Arabidopsis thaliana: one gene and its partners. The protein of the gene in region 3 interacts with the protein of the main gene of each other region in a pairwise test. Each region holds a gene or a part of one and is shown on either strand. Other genes may lie near its edges. The genes, in order: RPA1A, DML1 and RPA2.

Region 1 (5,318 bases), 7.8 Mb from region 3:
CACACCACTTAACCAGACCCGTTCGTCTCCTTTCCTTAAGCCATTACCTCTGAAACCATCCAAGGCTTTGGTTGCAACTGGAGGCAGAGCACAGAGGCTTCAAGTTAAGGCCCTCAAGATGGACAAGGCTTTGACCGGTATCTCCGCGGCTGCTCTTACTGCTTCGATGGTGATTCCGGAGATAGCTGAAGCTGCTGGTTCTGGAATCTCTCCTTCCCTCAAGAATTTCTTGCTCAGCATTGCTTCTGGTGGCCTCGTCCTCACTGTCATCATTGGTGTCGTCGTCGGCGTCTCCAACTTTGACCCTGTCAAGAGAACCTAAGACCTATATATCTTTCTTACATCATTATTGTAATCTGTTCTCCTTCTGTGTATTCGTTTCAATGTTGCAGCAATGAACTTTTGGATAAAAGTCAAATTTGTTGTTTCCTGAATTCGAAAGACGATTGAGACTTGAAATCATAACACTAAGCTTCATTGAATCAAGATTCAATAGAATTCATCAATTCATAATATAATAGTGTACTAAACTCGAGCTTGCATATTCTGAGTTAATTGAAATACCTCACTGTAATACCTAGAACGAACTTACCTTACGAGCAAATCAAGCATGTATTTACTCTCGGATGTATAATTCACCTTATCAACCTTCACAACAGTCATCTTCACTCTTTGTTCATCCCCATACGATTCCTCTTTGATCTTCAGCTTCAACATGTACTGATGAAACAGTCTGTCTCTAACAATCTCTGCGAACTCTTCCTCCTTCTCCAATTCGTATTTCATTGCGTAAAGCTTCTTAGCCGGACATCCCATTATTTCTTCTCCTGTTTCTTGAAACGCGGTTATCCAAGTCAACCCAGTGTGGTCTTGAATCTGTACCTGAAGAAGGTATCTATAGTCGCATTCATCAGACTCTTGGTTGCACCGGTCACAGAGCCACCTGTTTGTTCCAGACCGTGTAACCTTCTTGTTGCATTGTTTATCCCCGATCATCAAAGGACAAGCTGTATAACAGAAGCTATCTGTTTTGATGAATGATATGGTTGCTTTCACAGTGATCCAGTCAGGCTTATCTGATCTTCCAAGACCTTCCTCTTTGATCTGAGAAACATTTTTCCTTATCTCGTTCCTGGAAACTCCTCCAGGCATAGTGTCCCTGGAGATGGAGAAGGAAGCAGTGTCTTTTCCCCCGTAATCGAACCAGGTCCGTAGTTTATGAGCTTCAGGGAAATCTGGATTTATGAAGAGCTGTGTTGAAGATATTGTCCCTACTGATTTCCCACTGAAGTCGCTTACTTTTCCAGCTTTTATTGCTAAAACCGGGTGAAAAGCTGAATCAACCATCTCTTCCAGTTGCCGACCATCTCGGTTACAGAATTCTCCCCAAAGTGTTACCTCTACAGCCTTTCCTGATTCATCCTTTAGATTCAGGATCCTCCTATGGGTTTCCATCCCGTTCTTTCTCAAGATTGGCACCGAGGGGTTCACAGAAGTCACCACACCAATGACATCGAGTATGGTATTGTTCTCAGCGTTCTCAATGTCACTTATTGGGCGGAAGGAGAATTGCTGCTTTGGTATGGAGCCATCTTCATCAGGGCAAAGCTCCACAGTCGATGTTGACTCCAAGAAAATTTCCCATTCATTCTTTAAGTGGTTGAAATTTTTCTGTGCAGGCTTCAAACTTCCCTTTGAAATCAAATATACCTTACCAACCTCAGTAACATCATAGAAACGGTCAACAAGAGCATTAAAGCACGTAACCCGAATCTCCCCTCCATCATAGTCAAGCAGATCAAACGAGAAAACCTTTCCATCTCCTTTTGCATTGTTATATCGTCTGATATCTCCTTTCGCAGTTACTCTAGCCTTAATAGCCCATCGACCTTGGTATGGATTGAGAGCAGCAATAGGGATGACTCGAGCTGGAGCCTCGTTCTTCATGATGGGTCCATGATTTCTGTAACTTGCAGGCGGTTGATATGAAGGTTGAACAGATGGCCTGAAGCTTGGAGTATTGTTGGCTTGATTTTGAATGTTTACACCCCTGGGAGGTGCTCTATTAACAGAATGCTGAACCATTGGTTCATTAAAAACAACCCTGTTCGGAGGCGGTATATTGCCCGTACCTGAAAATGTCTTCTGGGCTTCTGTATCTGTTTCTCCAAATATTGTAGGGTTCCCAATGGTTTCAGACTGTTGTACTATCGTCTCCATGTTCAGCACCACAATAAGCCTGTACACAGTATGAATAAATCCATAAGAAAATCACAATCAAAGAGAGCAAAACTCCTTCAAATATGTCATGTTCAACCAAAACAATTGTGTAACTATATTTTCCAACTCACACAATCAACAAAATCATCTCCATTATCATCCTAAATGTTGTCCTTAACATCTGCCTACCAACCATTAAATACCATGAACTACAAAGACAACAACACAAATCTTTCCCACTAGTACATGTTAACCAAAATCATTCATCAATACACGAAACCTCATTGAAAGGTCTCTACCAAAAGCGAAGCTATCATTGCTTCTGCAAACTCATTGTAACAAATGCCTTACACATACTAAACCAAATACATAGCCACGAATACTCAGAAACATTACTAAGCAACAAATCAGAGATCACTAGAAAACTAAGCAATTCAACACAACGAAAACTAGATCTAACCAGAGAGAAAATGGAAAAATTACTTGCGGCCTTTAACGTCGCTACAAATGTAATCAATCAGCTGAACGATAGATCCTTTCTCAAATTGTCCTGACTTGACTCGATCATTAAGCTGAACCGCGACCATAGCATGTTGAGCAGAAACACCATCTGAAATGAGGAAACGATACCTCTCCTGGCTTCTCTCTTGACTTCTTCCTATCATTTTGATTTCTAAAACCTGTAACAACGGCTTCAAATTCACGTCGCCGTCATGTATCGCCGTGATTGCGTTCGGAGTCAAACTCACCGGCATGATTGTGATTTTTTAGATCCCGGCGCGAAACCCTAGAAAAATTGAAAAAATCGATAAACCGGAGGAGGAGTTAGGAAATATTCTATGGAGAAATAGAGCGTGAGGAAGACGAGATTTGACCTAGACGGTGGTGGTGGTGGTGACTGTTAGGAGATTCCTCCGAAAGCTTTGCTGAATTTTGCGGGAGAAGCTTAAAAGATGTTGTTTTGGGTCGCAAAACAGTTTATGGAGATTTTTCAATTTTGAAATTTTTTGGTTGATATTTCAGTGTAAAACTACTAATTTACCCTCGACTCGTAACTGTGAACGACTTGGATTAAATTCTCGAAAGAGAGAAAGACTATAGAACCCCTTAGAACATCCTTATTGGTAAGCTCAGACTAGTTCTTATGTTAATTAGATTAGAAATTTAATGTTTTAATTGATTTCTTTGGTAAGAATTGCTCTTATATAAGAGCAAAAATTAAATCTAAGAGCTAGACATGTGTCAAGTTTTTATTGGGTGAGTGTAAAATATTAACTACATTGTTAAATGTTTTCAAAATTTATGTTGTAATCATTATTAAAGTCTTTAAAATTAAAATGTTTTTATTTTTAAATATTTTTTTTTCTTCTTAAGAACTCAAAGCTAAGAACTCACCATTGCATATTACCAAAATTATAATTTCTTAACCAAACTCTTAACATAAAAGATTTCAAAATTAATTATATATATACCTATGAACTACCCTAAGAATAATCTAAGCAATCCCCAATAATGATGCTCTTAGAGCATCCACAATGGGAGGCTATTAGCAATGACTCTTAGCAATATTTTTATTAATTGATATTGAAAATTTGTAGTTAAGAGTTTGGTAAGAGTTTTAATTTTTGGCATGATTAATAGTAGTATATTAATTTGGGGTTTTTAAAAAAAAGAAAAAAATTAGATTCAAAACCAACAAATTAATTAGCTCAACAAATGTTTAATCACTATAAAATATCAAGAATCTCTCAAAAGAATCTCTCAATAGAATGAGATTTCGAATGAACAACATGTTATACCTTCTCAAATTACTCAAGAACAGACTTAGCAACTTCTCACTTTTGTTCAAAAGAGCATCTAGCGTCATCATTGGCACCAAAGCTCTAACCACTATGTTTAAAAAAAAAAAACATACAAGAACAAATCAAGAATCGTAAACAGAGCTAATTCTTCAACAACAACAAAAATATCAAGAAAGAAGCAAAAAGTTACCATTAAACACATAAGCTTGGATCTGCTCTCTAGGGTTTTGAAGCTCATAAAACACATCATCTGTACTAGCTTTCACTACACAACAACAACAAGAACCAAAAAAACTAATTTACATGAATCTCACCACATATTAACCAAAATTCCAAAAGGATGAAAAAGAATAAGTGATCATGAACCTTAGTTTTGATTTCAATTTTGGTTACAGCTGACAGAGTCGACTGCAAAAAAGGAACAAATTGAAAAGACTACATGATGAAAACAAAATCGATGAAAAACAAAACCAAATATGATCGTCAATAATCAAAAAGGTAAACAAAAAAGAAACAGAACCCAAGTAATTTATTAGATTAGCCAATTCATAGACACAATTTTGATAACAAGCTAAAACCTGGCAATTATCAAACAAATCAAGTTATCATCAGAAATTTTGAAATTACCAACCAACCAACCATATGAGAAATAGATTGAGACAATCATGCAGGGCCGGCCCGTGACGTAAGCGATATAAGCGGTGGCTTAGGGCCCAAAAATTTTAAAGTCCAACGAGGCTTAATTAAAAGAGAGTTGAGAAGAAAAAATCTGATTTTCAACCCAAGACTTCTAAAGCCCATCAACCAATTCTCTTATTCTAGGTTTCCTCCATTAAAAATCTGATTAATTCCATCTGCCGTGAAGAAGCAAGCGACCGACGTACGTTAGAGCGTTGAGTTGAGACTTTGAACGATGCCTCCTTTAGGGATCAAAAAGGAACCTCATGGATGTGATAAAAGAAAATTGCAAAAGAGACGAGAAGAGTTGGTAAGATCACAGGCTAATTCTCTTCTTAGGTACATGAAAAAACCTGAAAATCCTACAATTTCTGAAGTCATTAATTCTGATGGAAACAATAACCAACAAGAACGAGCTGATGAAGTGGATCCAGAGAATAAAGTGGACAATTTGGATGAAGTGGTTCAAGTGGATGAGAATGAATTTGAGAATAAACAACAAGAACAAGCTGAAGTTGTCTTTGAAAAGAAGAAAAGTCGATAGAATGAAGACATTCCTTCCAATATTTCTTATCCGGCGAATTGGGATAACATGAATTTGAGATTAAGAGTTTTAAT
Region 2 (7,893 bases), 4.9 Mb from region 3:
AGTTTCAATGCAAATAATTAAAATGAAAGAGTTGGAGTTATTGGAGTTCAAGTCTTACCTCATTTACTTGAAAGTACGTTCCATTTAGAGGAAAACTACCCCTCATCGCTGTTCTACAAGGAATCTGTACAATTTACAACATATTAATCTGTAGAAAACATAAGTGTAGTAAGCCGCATAAGGAGATTGATGCAACTACTTACCAAAATTGTCCCTCTCACAATTTGAGATCTAGTCTCCTTGATGCTGTTGCAGGAGAAACAAGTCTCCTCGTCACAAAGCATACCATTTGCTTGGAATATGCACGTACTAACAGACGGTTGAATAGAATCAGCCGTCTCACCTGTTGAATAACACATCGATTAAAGATACCGATTTGATTTCATGATTAAAAGATATGCAAATCATTAAATTACCTGGCGTCCATATAGCAAGCAAATAAGAACATGGATCATCAGGTTCTCTCTTTTCCAACTGCCACAAGAAATCACAAACAGCTAGTCAGATTTTACAATATAGACAGCACTCTATACGGCATGTGTCCTTATCCAGTTAGCTCACATACCTGAGCTAGAAGAGGATGCTCGTCTGGAAGTTCGTAACTGCAAGATACGGGAAAAGAAACAAGTTATGGCATAGCCTGTAATTATTGGGAAGTTTGTCTGCTTTCCAACTTACGAGTTCATGCTTGGTCAATCACTTAAATATTCTACTCTGTTCAAGCTTTAATAATTTTGAAAAATGTGTTTCTGATTTCATTTTTAACCTAAGAACGAAGAAAAACAGAGAAAAATGGATTCTTACACTCGGTGTTCTGTCCTTAACTGGCTGATATTCTTGAGCTTAGGCATTGGAAGAGAAGCAGTTTCAGCAGTAAGTGCAACTAAAGCGCTGGACATGTTTCCGTCTTGAAGTTCCTTGTTGTGTTCCATTATCTTCTTCAAGTTACTGGTAAATGCATCCATGTTTAGCCTGATGGTAGGAATTTCTTCTGGATCCTCAAAAAACGCCTCCTCTATGTCAGCTATTGATACTTCTGCGGTTTCTGGCTCCGGTGAAGCAGGCTCTTCGATGATTGGTTCACAACATGTGACCTTTTTTGCTGGTTCTGAGTGCTGTACTACTTCAGACCCTTGCTCTCTCTGGAATGGCTCTGGCAGGTGTAGAGGCAAAGGGTTTTTATCAGGTGTCCCCATACCTTTCTCTGTACTTGGTAAAGCAAGCCTTGCACTGTAAAACAAATGAATGTTACTAAATTTTCTGTAATGATGATTCAGAGCTTCGTTTAGATACAGACCAATTCTCATTTAACTGGGTTATATTTTAACAAGGACTTTCCTCATAGAGTCATAGTGGTACTAAAGGTTTAAGAGAACATGTTGTAGCACCTTGCAAACGCACTGGCAAAATGTCTGCATTCTCCTTTCATCGGACATGCATTGCAATTAGGTTTGCTCTTTGTGCAAAAGACCTGATACAATAATCAAGCAGATTACAAACCTCATCATGTGAGCTGATTTTGACATACGTATATATGTATTTCTTTAATACATACCTTTCCAAAAGTAATCATCTGGTAGTGCAACTCATACCTGTGAGATAATAGGGTATTAAACTAATGAATAAGTGTATTAGACTGAGGCATGAAAAAAAAAAAGTTAGTGATAAACATCATTCTTACAATGTTTTTTGGTCGAGTTTGCAGAGACGGGGCCAAAGATACTTTTGAATAGATTCAAGCATAGGATACCTAGACAAACCAAACCTCAGATGTATTAAGTAACAAATTACAATTTCCAAGTAGGACCATTTTGAAAAGTGCTTACATTTCCAGAAGATGCAACTGAAGTGACTCTGGGAGCGGCTGAAGGGGCACCCATCCAAGTCTGACGGCTATGCGCCCAACATTTGTATCAACCTGTCAATAAATTAAGTTCATGCATCATATAATTCACTTTTTATAGGGACAGAAACAAAAGTTTGATCCTTGCTTACTGGAAAGGCAAGATGGTGAAGTGTTAGAAGCCGCACACACTCCACACTTTTCAGTCCCAATCCGTTAAAGCTCAGAAGATATTCTCTGCAGGGTTTTGTAATATACGAGAGTACATAATTCATTATTAAGTCACTAAAACTGCCAAAGTAGTAATCTTTGTATAGGTTAATAAAGAAGAAATAAAATGCTTCGTCTTTCAAACTTACTTTGCTTTATCTGGTGGAACATCTCTCAACCATTCAAGATCGATACTTCCATGGTCATTTACCAGTCGATCAAGGAAGCCCTGCATGATTTTCATGTTCAGAGTCAAATACTTAAAATGAATGTTATCACGAAATTTAGCCACTAAATTTTTACCTGTATACGTTCTGCAAGTTTATGGTTCATCCCGCGACTCTTGATTGTTTCAGCAACTTCCTTAACATCTGCTGCTCGTATTGCCTTCCAATCCACGGTGTCCATTGTACTTCTTGTTTTTTCTCTAATTCCTGCTCTAGCTTGGGCTTCTCTTCTTAAACAATCCCAGTCAAACGCTTTTTTTTCCTCCTTCAAAACCTTTTTCCCTTTTTCTTTTAAGGTAGGTTTCTGACAACTCAAAACATCCCCATCTTGCTGAGAGCAACAACCAGGTTCACTACTATCAACAGAGGATTTTGTGGGCTCTTTCATTGACTGGAAACCCTTAATTTCTGAGCTACAATCACCCGGAGACATATTTGGTGATACTTGATTGGAATCTTCTAGAGAGACTTGTACCCCCTGTAGGAGCTTCATAAAGGAAGTACGATACTCTCCTTCTAAGTCGATCTCTGAGCTTGATCCTGCTCTCTCTGTATTTTGAGGAGCATCAGACACCATCGAATGTTGACATGTAAGTGCAGAATCTTCAGATGGAAACAGGTTCAGGACACGACACTTCTCATCCGTCTTATCAACCTCTACACTTGAGCCTTTTCGATCTGAATCAACATACTCCTTTGAATCCGTGGTTTTGTCAACTGATTCATGGGCTGAGATGGCAATCTCACTACTGCTTCTGGAGGTTTCATTGCTAGGTACATAATCCTTCTCCTCATCAGGCTGTGTATTTTTCAAAGTAACAGAACTGTGATTGTGATCGGGTGGGCTTGACATCGTTTCCTCTGAGTCCAAGTACGTTATTTGAATAGAAGGCATCGAGCTTGTTCCAGCGTCAAAGTTACTGCTCGGTACAAAAGGGACAGGGAACTGGGAAGCCAACGACATGAAAGCCGAACTACAAGGAGTAAAAAACATCAAAGCAAGTTAGTTTTGTGACTTTTTGCTGTCTTGGATTTAGTTTGACATAGAATTATGTAAGAGCTTGTACCTTGAGAGATGGTCTGAAACATTTTGAGTGAGAAATACTCCAACAACAGAATCCACGACGGATCCCTTCCAAGGCGTAAAACGTCGATCCCCTGTTAGAAACCAAAGACCATAACAAGAAGCAGTAGCTGAGACATACTAATTGAAACCATGTGGTTAGAACAGAAACACATAAAAGGACAAGTGTGGTGTATAACCTTGTACAAGGTGCATCCTTGCAATAAATGAGTCAGCTCGTCCTCGAAACACATTACGTTCTTCCTCCCACCATTTCGCCTTCTGCTCGTCTGATCCGTCAACACCTTCGCTATTAATATTCTCCAATAGCAGTTTCCACACTCTGTCTGTCTCATCGTCTAGATCAACCTTTGGTCGTGGGCGTGGTTTTTTAACAGGAGTTACAGGCACAATTGCTCCAGCGCCACCACCAAAGAGTACAATCTGGCTATTCATTGTGTAAGGAACGAGAGCAGTTTCAGAATGCTCCCTGTTGATGTCTAATAGACGCAATAGCTCACTGATTGTTTCGATCGAGTTACGTCGTTTCCAAAGTTCATCTGGAGAAAGACCTGCAGGAATCAAACATCATCATTATCAAGAAATAGTCTGCATTTAACAGATTCAAAAAAACAAAGAAATATAGTTCTGTATCTATTCATTACCAGTAAATGAAGGTGGAAAACGGCAAAGATTCGGAAGAAGATTTTTCTGTTTGGTTTGTGATTTCTCAGACTTGGTTGGCTTCTTTTTGCTCACAGTCACCCGCGTATCAACAAGAATCTTATTATTTTGCTGTGGCTTGCTACAATATCCTGAGGTTAAATGCTCAGGAACTTCCACAAGTTTATTCATTGAAGACAAATTCCGGAATCGAGCATGGCCTGTTGTTTTCTTCTTGATCGGCGTGTCTATCTTATCCGAGAGAACATTTAGCTCAGACTCTTGCCTTCCTTGAAAGATACCTTCTCGTCTTTCTTCAACGGTTAGGACTCTATTAGCACTGAGCTGAGATGTGGAACTGTAGCACGTAGCGTGAAAGGCAGAAACATAATTGTGCTGTTGTCCAGAGAATACTTTGCTGCAAATGGCATCATATCTCATCCCTCCCTGTTGCAAGTTTGGGGAATACAACCAATGCATTTTCTGGTAGTCACATTGCTCATCATACTGAATCCCTGATAGATTCATGTCGCAACAAGTTGGTCCTTGTCTTCTCTTTGCAGCTTGCGCCATCGAAATATCGACTTCTTCTAGATTACTGCCATTTTTCTTTGGTTGAACTCCCTTTCTTTTACCTTGGCTGCGCTTTCTCTTGGGCGTGCTAGGAGCCGAAAGAAGGCAATCTTTTAACTCTTGATTCCCAGAATCTAACTGCTTCTCTTGAAGAGCTGATTCCATCTCACCTGCTTCTCTAATGTCACCGTTGGTCTGGTTTTCTCCATTTTCGGCTTCAAAATCCAAGACTCGTCTACAGAGCCTCTTAGGACGAGTTGAAGTTTCAACAGCTGCTGATGATTCAACCGGAGTAGCGTCTTGATCCTTACTGACTTCAACCTTCTTCCGCACATATTTCCTCTTTGGTGTTTTGCTTTCTTGACCATCGGTGACAACAGACTTCCTCGGAGCTCGTGGTTTAGGCTCCCTCTTGGGTTTAGCTTCTCTACGAACCTTTGGCCGATGCTTCTTCCTCTTAGGTTTTTCAGGAGTCTTGAGGATCTGTTCAGCAACATTGTTACTCACTGAGCTCAAACTCTCCACTTCTTCAGTACCTTTTTGCATAACCTCTGTGTTTCCTACATTGAGAATCACATCTTTCTCAGTCCAACTCAAACAGAATCAAAATTTGACAAAGCGATTTCATTTCTCATGAGACCAGAATCAAAATCCCCTCTTACTTGTAGGTATTGGAGTCTGACCAGAGAATATGAGGGATGCAGTGTTAGCTAGAGCAAGCAAATCCCCAAAAGACAAGTGATCAAGACCACTCATATCCTTGTTCCCAACAAATCTCCTGCATGCATCAATACCTTACTTAACCAATTACCCATCACTACTCTTTGAAATTTCTCAACTTTAGAACAAAAAAGCACAAACCTTTCCTCCAATTGACTGCTATGATATTGATCCTCCACCGTGTATGGGCAGATCGGTGAAAATGGCTTCATGGGTGTCTGAGGAATCCATGGAGGTTGTTGAAAGCTGCTTTCTTCTCTCCTCTGTTTCTCCATTTCTGACTCTATTTTTACTTTTCTTCACTCTTACTTAAATCAGAACCATTTGAGAAAAAGCTTGGAACTTTCTATTTTTTCCACTGCAAAAAGTTCAATAATTTCTTCAATAAAAGAGATCACCAATTTTTTTTAAAAATCACGATTTTATAAAATGATCAGATCCACTTTTTTCTGGGGTTTTAGAGAAAGAGAGATCTCCGGAAGTCATTGATTTTGGGTGAGTGGCGACATGAACGATTAATCCGTTCGTTAGGTGAAAGAGAGACTTTTTAGATTCACAACAAAATGTAAAAAAAAGTAAGAAAAAAACAAAATTCATTACCAGTAGAATCAATGGTTATGGTGGTGATGGAGAGAGTTAGTTCGGTGGTAGCTATGAGAGGATAAGATCACTGATGCTTCGTTTCTTCTCTTGGAATCGATGAAGTTAAAGAGTAATATAGAAAAAGCTTTTTTGGCCTAACGTATAAAGAAGAGGATATAACATGTGTTGTTGTGTGTTTCACTATTTTTCATAACCGTTTGTTTATGTAGGGCGAAAGTTCGTTTGGTTGGCGGGAAAAGTTTTACGGAATTTTATTTTAAAAATAATGATTCTTTTCTACAAAATCTCCTAGACTATGGGAAAGATGATTTAAAAAGTTAATAATATTGTCGTTGTTATCGTCATCGTCATCATCGTCTTTTCTGTTATCTTTTTCTCTTTAAAATTTCGTATTTTTTCTCGTTTACGTAACTATTTAAAATTATATGAACTAACTAATTTTATAATTAATAGAAATTATAAAATAATCTTAATTTTGCTTTAGATATAAAATAATTAGAACTTTATTTATAAATTTATCATCAAATTATGATTTAAACAAATAACATGTTATGTAATCCACGTTTATAATTTTGATCAATAATATATTATTTTGCTAATTTTTACGTAATCTCATAAATTTACACGTTTTCGTTTACATATGCAGAAGTTAAATGATTCGTTTTAGAATTATTATTTTCCACTGATATGGGAGCTAGTGTAGTAGAGTGATTATTAGGCTAGTTGCCCAACGAGTCTTTCGTTTTTGATCATTCCAAATGTTTTAGTCTAGTACGATAGGAGTCAAAATACTGCACCATATGTGTGAAACTGTGAATGTGTGTGAAAAAAAGAGTAATTAGTGTGCTAACCTTTGATTTCCTGTCATGCAAGAAACCTTCAAAGAGACGTACATGAGAAATGAGTATTGTAAATCATTTATTTCATGGACTTGGTTGGAATCTTAGTGAATCGTTGTTGTCAATCTTAACAACTTGTTGGATTGGTTATGAGCCTATGACTTATGACTTATGAGTGAGTCAATGGTGGTCATAACCTAATGATTGGGTTATGAGCAAAGAAATTTGGAATTTGTAAAAAAAAAAAAAAAAATCAAGAGCTTTTTTGTGTGGACATATCTATCCTAGAAACTGAGACGAATAATAGTGGATAAAAAGTTGGGAACGGATTATTCGAATGTTTAAAACTATTATTGAAAACAATACAACTAAATATGGTACAAAAGTAAACGAATTCGTATAGCTAAACCTAATTCAAATTACGAAGCTAATCCATACTTGGATCCTAAACGCTTTTACTTTTACTTACGGTTTCTTTTTCAAAAAAGTTTTTACAAATTTGGGTTTGTCTTATGAAGATTATGGCAGAAGAGACTGATCAAAAGTGAATGCCTAATTCGGTTTAATCCATTCAAGTTTATCTTAAACAATGAAACTGACCATGAAAGTGAATTCAAAGACCAAATCAAAGAAAAATTAAACTGATTTAGTTGTAATATTGGTATTGAATTAAACTATAAATAGAAATAACCAAACATATAACCACAAAAGAAGACTATTTATATAAATATATGAGTTGGAAGTCATTTTTGGACTATTATATAAGATCTAATTATCACACGACGTGTGGATGTATGGTTAGCAGAGTTGTGTTCAGAGAGTTCGATAAAGCCATCACTCCAAACATACAAAATATCCATACATTGATCCACCAATATAACCGGCTGTGTGCCAAGCAAAGTGAAGCTTAGGCCTAACTAGGGTTCTCAAAAGTTCAAAATATAAAAAATATTTTGGCGTCGACCTTAAAGTCCTTGCTTCATCGACTATAGTCTAAAGCCGGCATGCCTAAAAACCTCATATAAATCGTCGCTTGTTACTCGATCATACTCTGTAACTATAAATATCCTGATCTTAATTATAACTTGAAATACTACTAATCTACGAATCTATCATGTAACCTGTTTACTAGTTTTTATTTAATATAATCAA
Region 3 (5,702 bases):
GCTGCTATAGCTCAAGAGAAGGTTAAAGCTGTTGAAGCACCGATGCTTTATAGTTGTGGAATCTGTAACAAAGGTTACAGGAGTTCCAAGGCTCATGAGCAGCATCTTAAGTCGAAGAGTCATGTTTTGAAGGCTTCGACGAGTACTGGAGAGGAGGATAAAGCGATCATCAAGCAGCTTCCGCCTCGTCGTGTTGAGAAGAATAACACTGCTCAATTGAAGGGTTCGATTGAGGAGGAAGAGAGTGAAGATGAATGGATTGAGGTTGATTCGGATGAGGATTTGGATGCGGAAATGAATGAGGATGGTGAAGAAGAAGATATGGATGAAGATGGTATTGAATTTGAGTTGGATCCGGCTTGTTGTTTGATGTGTGATAAGAAGCATAAGACTATAGAGAAATGTATGGTTCATATGCATAAGTTTCATGGGTTCTTCATTCCTGATATTGAGTACTTGAAGGATCCTAAAGGGTTTCTGACCTACCTCGGTCTAAAGGTTTGTGCTTTGTGCTTAGTCTGTCTTAGATCTTTGTTTTTCTTTGCTACTTAGTACTTACATGGTTGTTGTTTCAGGTCAAGAGAGACTTCGTGTGTCTGTACTGCAATGAATTGTGCCATCCATTTAGTAGTTTGGAAGCTGTTCGTAAGCATATGGACGCCAAAGGTCATTGCAAAGTGCATTATGGTGATGGTGGTGATGAAGAAGATGCAGAACTTGAAGAGTTCTATGACTACAGCAGCAGGTTCCATTTCTTCTGCTTTCTCCTCTGTTGTTGGTGTCTAAATGTGCTTGAACTAATTGTGTCTTCTTTTGATGTGTGTTTGTACAGCTATGTCAATGGAGACGAAAATCAGATGGTTGTGTCCGGTGAGTCAGTGAACACTGTAGAGCTTTTTGGTGGGTCTGAGCTTGTGATCACCAAGAGAACCGATAACAAAGTAACGTCTAGGACTCTTGGGTCTCGAGAATTCATGCGCTACTACAAACAGAAGCCAGCACCGTCTTCTCAGAAGCATATTGTCAACTCTCTAACCTCCAGGTTTGTCTTTAACCGATCAGAGATCATTTATCACTGTCTCTGTGTAGAATTTGAATCTGACGTGAATGGGTCTTAAAACACAGGTACAAGATGATGGGTCTAGCAACAGTGCAGTCAAAGGAGGCCATAGTGAGGATGAAGGTGATGAGAGAGATGAACAAAAGAGGAGCGAAAAGCAGTGTCAGGCTCGGAATGAAGAGCAACGTCATCAGGAATCTGCCCAACAATGTCACCTATTAGTCTTGCTCCTCGATTTTCAGGTCTCTCCTCTTTGTTTGATTTTGTGACCAGAGTTTTGGTGAGTAAATCTATCTAAGTTTTTCACTAGTACTCAAGTATCTTAGGCCCATTTGGGTCTCTGTTTTGTCTGATTTAGTCTTTTGAAAATGTTACGTTTTGGCTGAGTTTGTATCTCTTGCCCAGTGCTTTGTACACTCTACATTAATCTATATTTCATTTGGTAGAAGATCAAGAGCTAATCAATCTTTATCTGCTAAATCATAAATCTAGTACACTTTTCACTTATCTATACATTTGTTTTAGATAACGAATGCTCTCGACTTCACTTTCTCTAGCTATCTTGATAAATTGTATAAAGGTAAATGCACAGGTCGATTTACGAGTTCCTCACAAACCGCGAGTAAATCTCGACACGAATATCTTGCATCATCCACTATATCTCTTTATTATTTATCACTCTATTGCTCTCTCTTACAGGCACTACTGTTTCAAAAGAGAGAGGAACAAGTTTAAAGCCTAACTCTTTCCAAAGTCCAACAGCCCAACTTCACAGGAGCCCATCGAAATCATAAGTCTTCTAAACCGGAAAGCTTTTGAGTCGAATAAACTGAACTGAGAGTAAACCGGAGAACTGAATTTATTAAAAAGTAATTATATTATAGATTTACCTCGCCCTAATTGGCGGGAAGCTCTAATCAAAATTGGAGGGAAAATCCCCCAAAAATTCTTTCGTCGCTATTAAAATTCCCCCAAAATCTTCTCTTCCCTTTACTTTGATCACTTTTCAACTTCCTAAATCTCTTCACAGTTACTTTCGATTTTCCGATTTCGTAGCTTCGAAAATGTTCTCCAGCAGCCAATTCGAGCCTAATTCCGGCTTCTCCGGCGGCGGATTCATGTCTTCTCAACCTTCTCAAGCCTACGAATCCTCCTCCTCCACCGCTAAGGTAATATAATCCATCTTCCATTTCGTTCAATTCCACCGATTAGGCTACAGATCGAAAGTTTCCGAATCGCTAAACGTTTCTCTGTAACAATCGATTTTGGAATTGCTAAATCTGCTCTGTATATGTTTTGTGGGAATATGCAGAATCGTGATTTTCAAGGTCTTGTTCCAGTGACGGTGAAGCAAATCACCGAATGTTTCCAATCCAGTGGTGAAAAATCTGGTCTCGTCATCAATGGAATCTCACTAACAAACGTAAATACCATTTCTAGATCTCTTTGTTTATTACCGTTATTCGTCAATATGGTCAAACTTTTACTCAATTGTGTGATGTTTTTGGTATAATTCAGGTTTCACTTGTTGGATTAGTGTGTGACAAAGATGAATCTAAAGTCACAGAAGTTAGATTCACTCTTGATGATGGAACAGGACGAATTGACTGTAAAAGATGGTAAATACTCGGAAACTTTACCTTTTGATAGATGCAAGAGTTGTTTTTCGGTGCAGTGGTTAGTTTATGAAGTTTGTAATTGGTGTTGTTGTGCCTTTCTTATAGGGTGAGTGAAACTTTCGACGCTAGAGAAATGGAGTCTGTGCGGTTAGTATCTTTGGTTTTTGTTTGATTTATGTGGTGAGATCACATTTTTGGTTTTGGATGTGTTTTCTAATTGTTAGCTGTGAAACAGAGATGGAACTTATGTGCGCCTCAGTGGTCATTTGAAGACTTTTCAGGGCAAAACTCAGCTTCTTGTTTTCTCTGTGAGGTATGTTTTGTATTTTTGGTTGTGAAATGCTTTTGATTCCGTTACCATTGGCAATAGACGTTGGTATGTTCTGTATAAGCTTTGTTAGATATTTATATGAAATCGTCTGTTTTGTGTTGCAGGCCTATTATGGACTTCAATGAGGTTACTTTTCACTACATTGAGTGTATACACTTCTACTCCCAGAACTCTGAATCACAGGTAAAGAAAATGCAATATAGCAAAAGATAAATTGTGTTGTTCACAATTTGCAATCGAACCTCCCTCTCTGACTTGTGCTTTCTCAATAGAGACAACAAGTCGGTGATGTCACTCAGTCAGTTAACACCACATTTCAAGGTGGATCAAACACAAACCAGGCAACACTATTGAACCCTGTATGATGAATTCACCAAGTTTTTTTTTTTTTGGTTTTCTTCATGACATTTGTTTCTGTACTTAGAAATAGAATCTCATTATTGTTGCTCGTTTTTAGGTGGTTTCTTCTCAAAACAATGATGGCAATGGGCGCAAGAACTTGGATGATATGATTCTAGACTATCTAAAGCAACCTGCTTGCACGTGAGTTTGAATTTTCTCATTGCTGCCCCCATTGCTCCACTTAAAAAACTGGTCTAATAATAGTTCTGTTCACTGCAGTGCAAGACAACAGGGGATACATATCGATGAAATTGCTCAGCAGTTGAAGATCCCAAAAAACAAGCTAGAGTATGCTTTTTTTCTTTCTTTCTCCTTATAACATCTATCTCTCTTTATTACATTCAGAGTTGTTGAGCTCATGAGTTTGCTTTGTTTTTTTTACTGATGTGTTTATAGGGGCGTTGTTCAATCACTGGAAGGAGATGGTCTAATATACTCGACAATCGATGAGTATCACTTCAAGCACGTGGAGCTTTGATCTATCTAATAGTCATCTAGAGTTTGGTTAATCCGTAGATAGAGTCATTAGTATTGTCTGGTGATTTAAAAGATGTTTCAATATCCAGAACTATTAGGATCACGTCTAGTTCACTTCTGAAACTTTGGTAGTGTCATGCTTAATTCTGGTGTTGGATTGTTTCCTTGTTTCTTTCAATTTGGTAAGCCAACTTCAAAAGTTCAAAGTTGATTTTTTGTTTAATCTGAAACTATATTTGGTTTAAGACAGCGTTTTGTGTTGCAATGTCGCATACTAGAATCAAACTTGTAAATGAAACTGCAATTACATGTTACCAACAAAAACAGATACATAAACTCTGAAAACCCTAATTTGCCTCTAGACAAAACAATGAAACATAAAAGTGAAAACCCTAAACACACTTCCGAAACAAGCTAAGTTTACAAAGTCACTAAAGACCACAAAATAAAACCCTAATTAGACTCTGCTATTTGTCAACAGGTTTGCGACAGAGAGGGCAAGAGTTATTATGACCAATCACCCACTTGGTGACACATCCTTCATGATAACAATGCTTACAATAAGGCATCTGGCAATAATTCTCAGATCTCGACATATTCTCCAAACAGATTGCACAAGTCTCCGATTCTTCTTCTTGGTCCACATCTGTTGCTGACGGAGAAGAAATACAAGGGACAACACTGTATACCTTTTGAGTCAATTTGACAGAGACAATCATGAATAAAGGTTGTTGTTGTGAGTAAAAACTTTGACTTCTTTGTCGTTGGGCTTCGACAATCTTAGAAGATATCTGTTCGGACATGACATGATCGTGGAGTTGGCTTTGGAGACGGTGAAAGACGTCGTTTGGTTTAAAACATGGTAGTTTCAGAGAGATTAGTGGGTCGTGGCAAGAAGAATCAGGGTAAGAACCGAGACTCGTGACACTATCATCTTTCTCTTTAATGAGAAATTCCTCGACTTCTCTATGTAGACTGATTACTACGGTGCTTAAGAACCCTAATGACCGACCTTGAGACCAAGCCTGAACATGAACATCGAGTTTGAATGATTCAGTATCCATTCTCGTAGTGAAAATTAGACAAAAAATCAGAGAGAAAGATGATTCGTAAAAGATTAGATGAGAGAGGAGATTGTAGTGAAATCTGAAATTGTGGAGAAGTGAATGTGTAATGTTATGTTTATATAAGCAAAACTCTGATTATAATTGTTCGAACGCGTTAATTGTAATTTCCTTTCTTTATTCTAACCGTTAATGTAATTTCCTTTTCTCCATATTACCTTGTTTCCTTTTTTTCTTGTTGGTAAAACATCTCGTTATACCAGAGTGCTTAAACCAAACCATTTTTCCTATTGTAATTTGCCGGTTTATATTGTGTTGTTTGATTTTCCTCAAATACTTTAACTAATAACCAAAATATATATATATATATATATATTTTTTTTTGGATAACCCAGGTATCCCAAGCCCAATGGGCCCAGACTAGCCCACTGCGTGCGTCCCGAAGACGGCAAGAGTAGTTCTTCAAATACTTTAACTAATAACCAAAATATATTTTGTTACAATAATAAAGAGATTGTTAGATAAATTGTGATATTTCACAATCTCTTTGATTTTTTTTTTTTTTTTCTGGTTATCATCATGTTGATGTGCTAATTGTGTTATATGTTACTTGGGAGCAACCTAATATTTTATCAAATGCTTTTTAAAGACCTCTATAGTATTCATGTTTTCTCTGACTTAAGCTGGCAAAAACATATTTCAAGTGAAAAGTTGCTTTTCGTGTAGAAAATTGGATTATCCAAAACGCT

The links.
Region 1: the proteins of RPA2 (region 3) and RPA1A interact in a two-hybrid assay, tested with the Arabidopsis thaliana proteins (one study listed by BioGRID).
Region 2: the proteins of RPA2 (region 3) and DML1 interact in a two-hybrid assay, tested with the Arabidopsis thaliana proteins (one study listed by BioGRID).

Annotation. Positions count from the first base shown.
Region 1 is NC_003071.7:2,582,872-2,588,189, reverse strand, and holds RPA1A (replication protein A 1A), read right to left. Parts: upstream 3,207-5,318; 5' UTR 3,096-3,206; intron 3,008-3,095; 5' UTR 2,976-3,007; coding exon 2,704-2,975; intron 2,240-2,703; coding exon 589-2,239; 3' UTR 504-588; downstream 1-503. Other genes in the region: PSBX (photosystem II subunit X), read left to right, coding at 1-322; AT2G06500 (hAT family dimerization domain-containing protein), read left to right, coding at 4,967-5,010, 5,040-5,236. UniProt on the Arabidopsis thaliana protein: Component of the replication protein A complex (RPA) required for DNA recombination, repair and replication. The activity of RPA is mediated by single-stranded DNA binding and protein interactions.
Region 2 is NC_003071.7:15,308,699-15,316,591, forward strand, and holds the start of DML1 (demeter-like 1), read right to left. Parts: upstream 6,110-7,893; 5' UTR 5,900-6,109; intron 5,658-5,899; 5' UTR 5,575-5,657; coding exon 5,441-5,574; intron 5,358-5,440; coding exon 5,242-5,357; intron 5,140-5,241; coding exon 4,009-5,139; intron 3,916-4,008; coding exon 3,544-3,915; intron 3,439-3,543; coding exon 3,348-3,438; intron 3,255-3,347; coding exon 2,357-3,254; intron 2,283-2,356; coding exon 2,203-2,282; intron 2,081-2,202; coding exon 1,996-2,080; intron 1,919-1,995; coding exon 1,827-1,918; intron 1,751-1,826; coding exon 1,682-1,750; intron 1,593-1,681; coding exon 1,556-1,592; intron 1,472-1,555; coding exon 1,389-1,471; intron 1,231-1,388; coding exon 805-1,230; intron 603-804; coding exon 566-602; intron 475-565; coding exon 417-474; intron 344-416; coding exon 204-343; intron 125-203; coding exon 59-124; intron 1-58. UniProt on the Arabidopsis thaliana protein: Bifunctional DNA glycosylase/lyase, which excises 5-methylcytosine (5-meC) and 5-hydroxymethylcytosine (5-hmeC), leaving an apyrimidinic (AP) site that is subsequently incised by the lyase activity.
Region 3 is NC_003071.7:10,396,839-10,402,540, reverse strand, and holds RPA2 (replicon protein A2), read left to right. Parts: upstream 1-2,042; 5' UTR 2,043-2,124; coding exon 2,125-2,229; intron 2,230-2,372; coding exon 2,373-2,483; intron 2,484-2,578; coding exon 2,579-2,679; intron 2,680-2,784; coding exon 2,785-2,826; intron 2,827-2,914; coding exon 2,915-2,992; intron 2,993-3,114; coding exon 3,115-3,193; intron 3,194-3,282; coding exon 3,283-3,369; intron 3,370-3,467; coding exon 3,468-3,553; intron 3,554-3,631; coding exon 3,632-3,700; intron 3,701-3,808; coding exon 3,809-3,890; 3' UTR 3,891-4,071; exon of another isoform or gene 4,072-4,137; intron 4,138-4,356; coding exon of another isoform or gene 4,357-4,953; 3' UTR 4,954-5,164; downstream 5,165-5,702. Other genes in the region: FZF (Zinc finger protein 622), read left to right, coding at 1-498, 576-745, 833-1,042, 1,126-1,282; AT2G24480 (Zinc finger, C3HC4 type (RING finger) family protein), read right to left, coding at 4,357-4,953. UniProt on the Arabidopsis thaliana protein: Component of the replication protein A complex (RPA) required for DNA recombination, repair and replication. The activity of RPA is mediated by single-stranded DNA binding and protein interactions. Required fo cell division in meristems.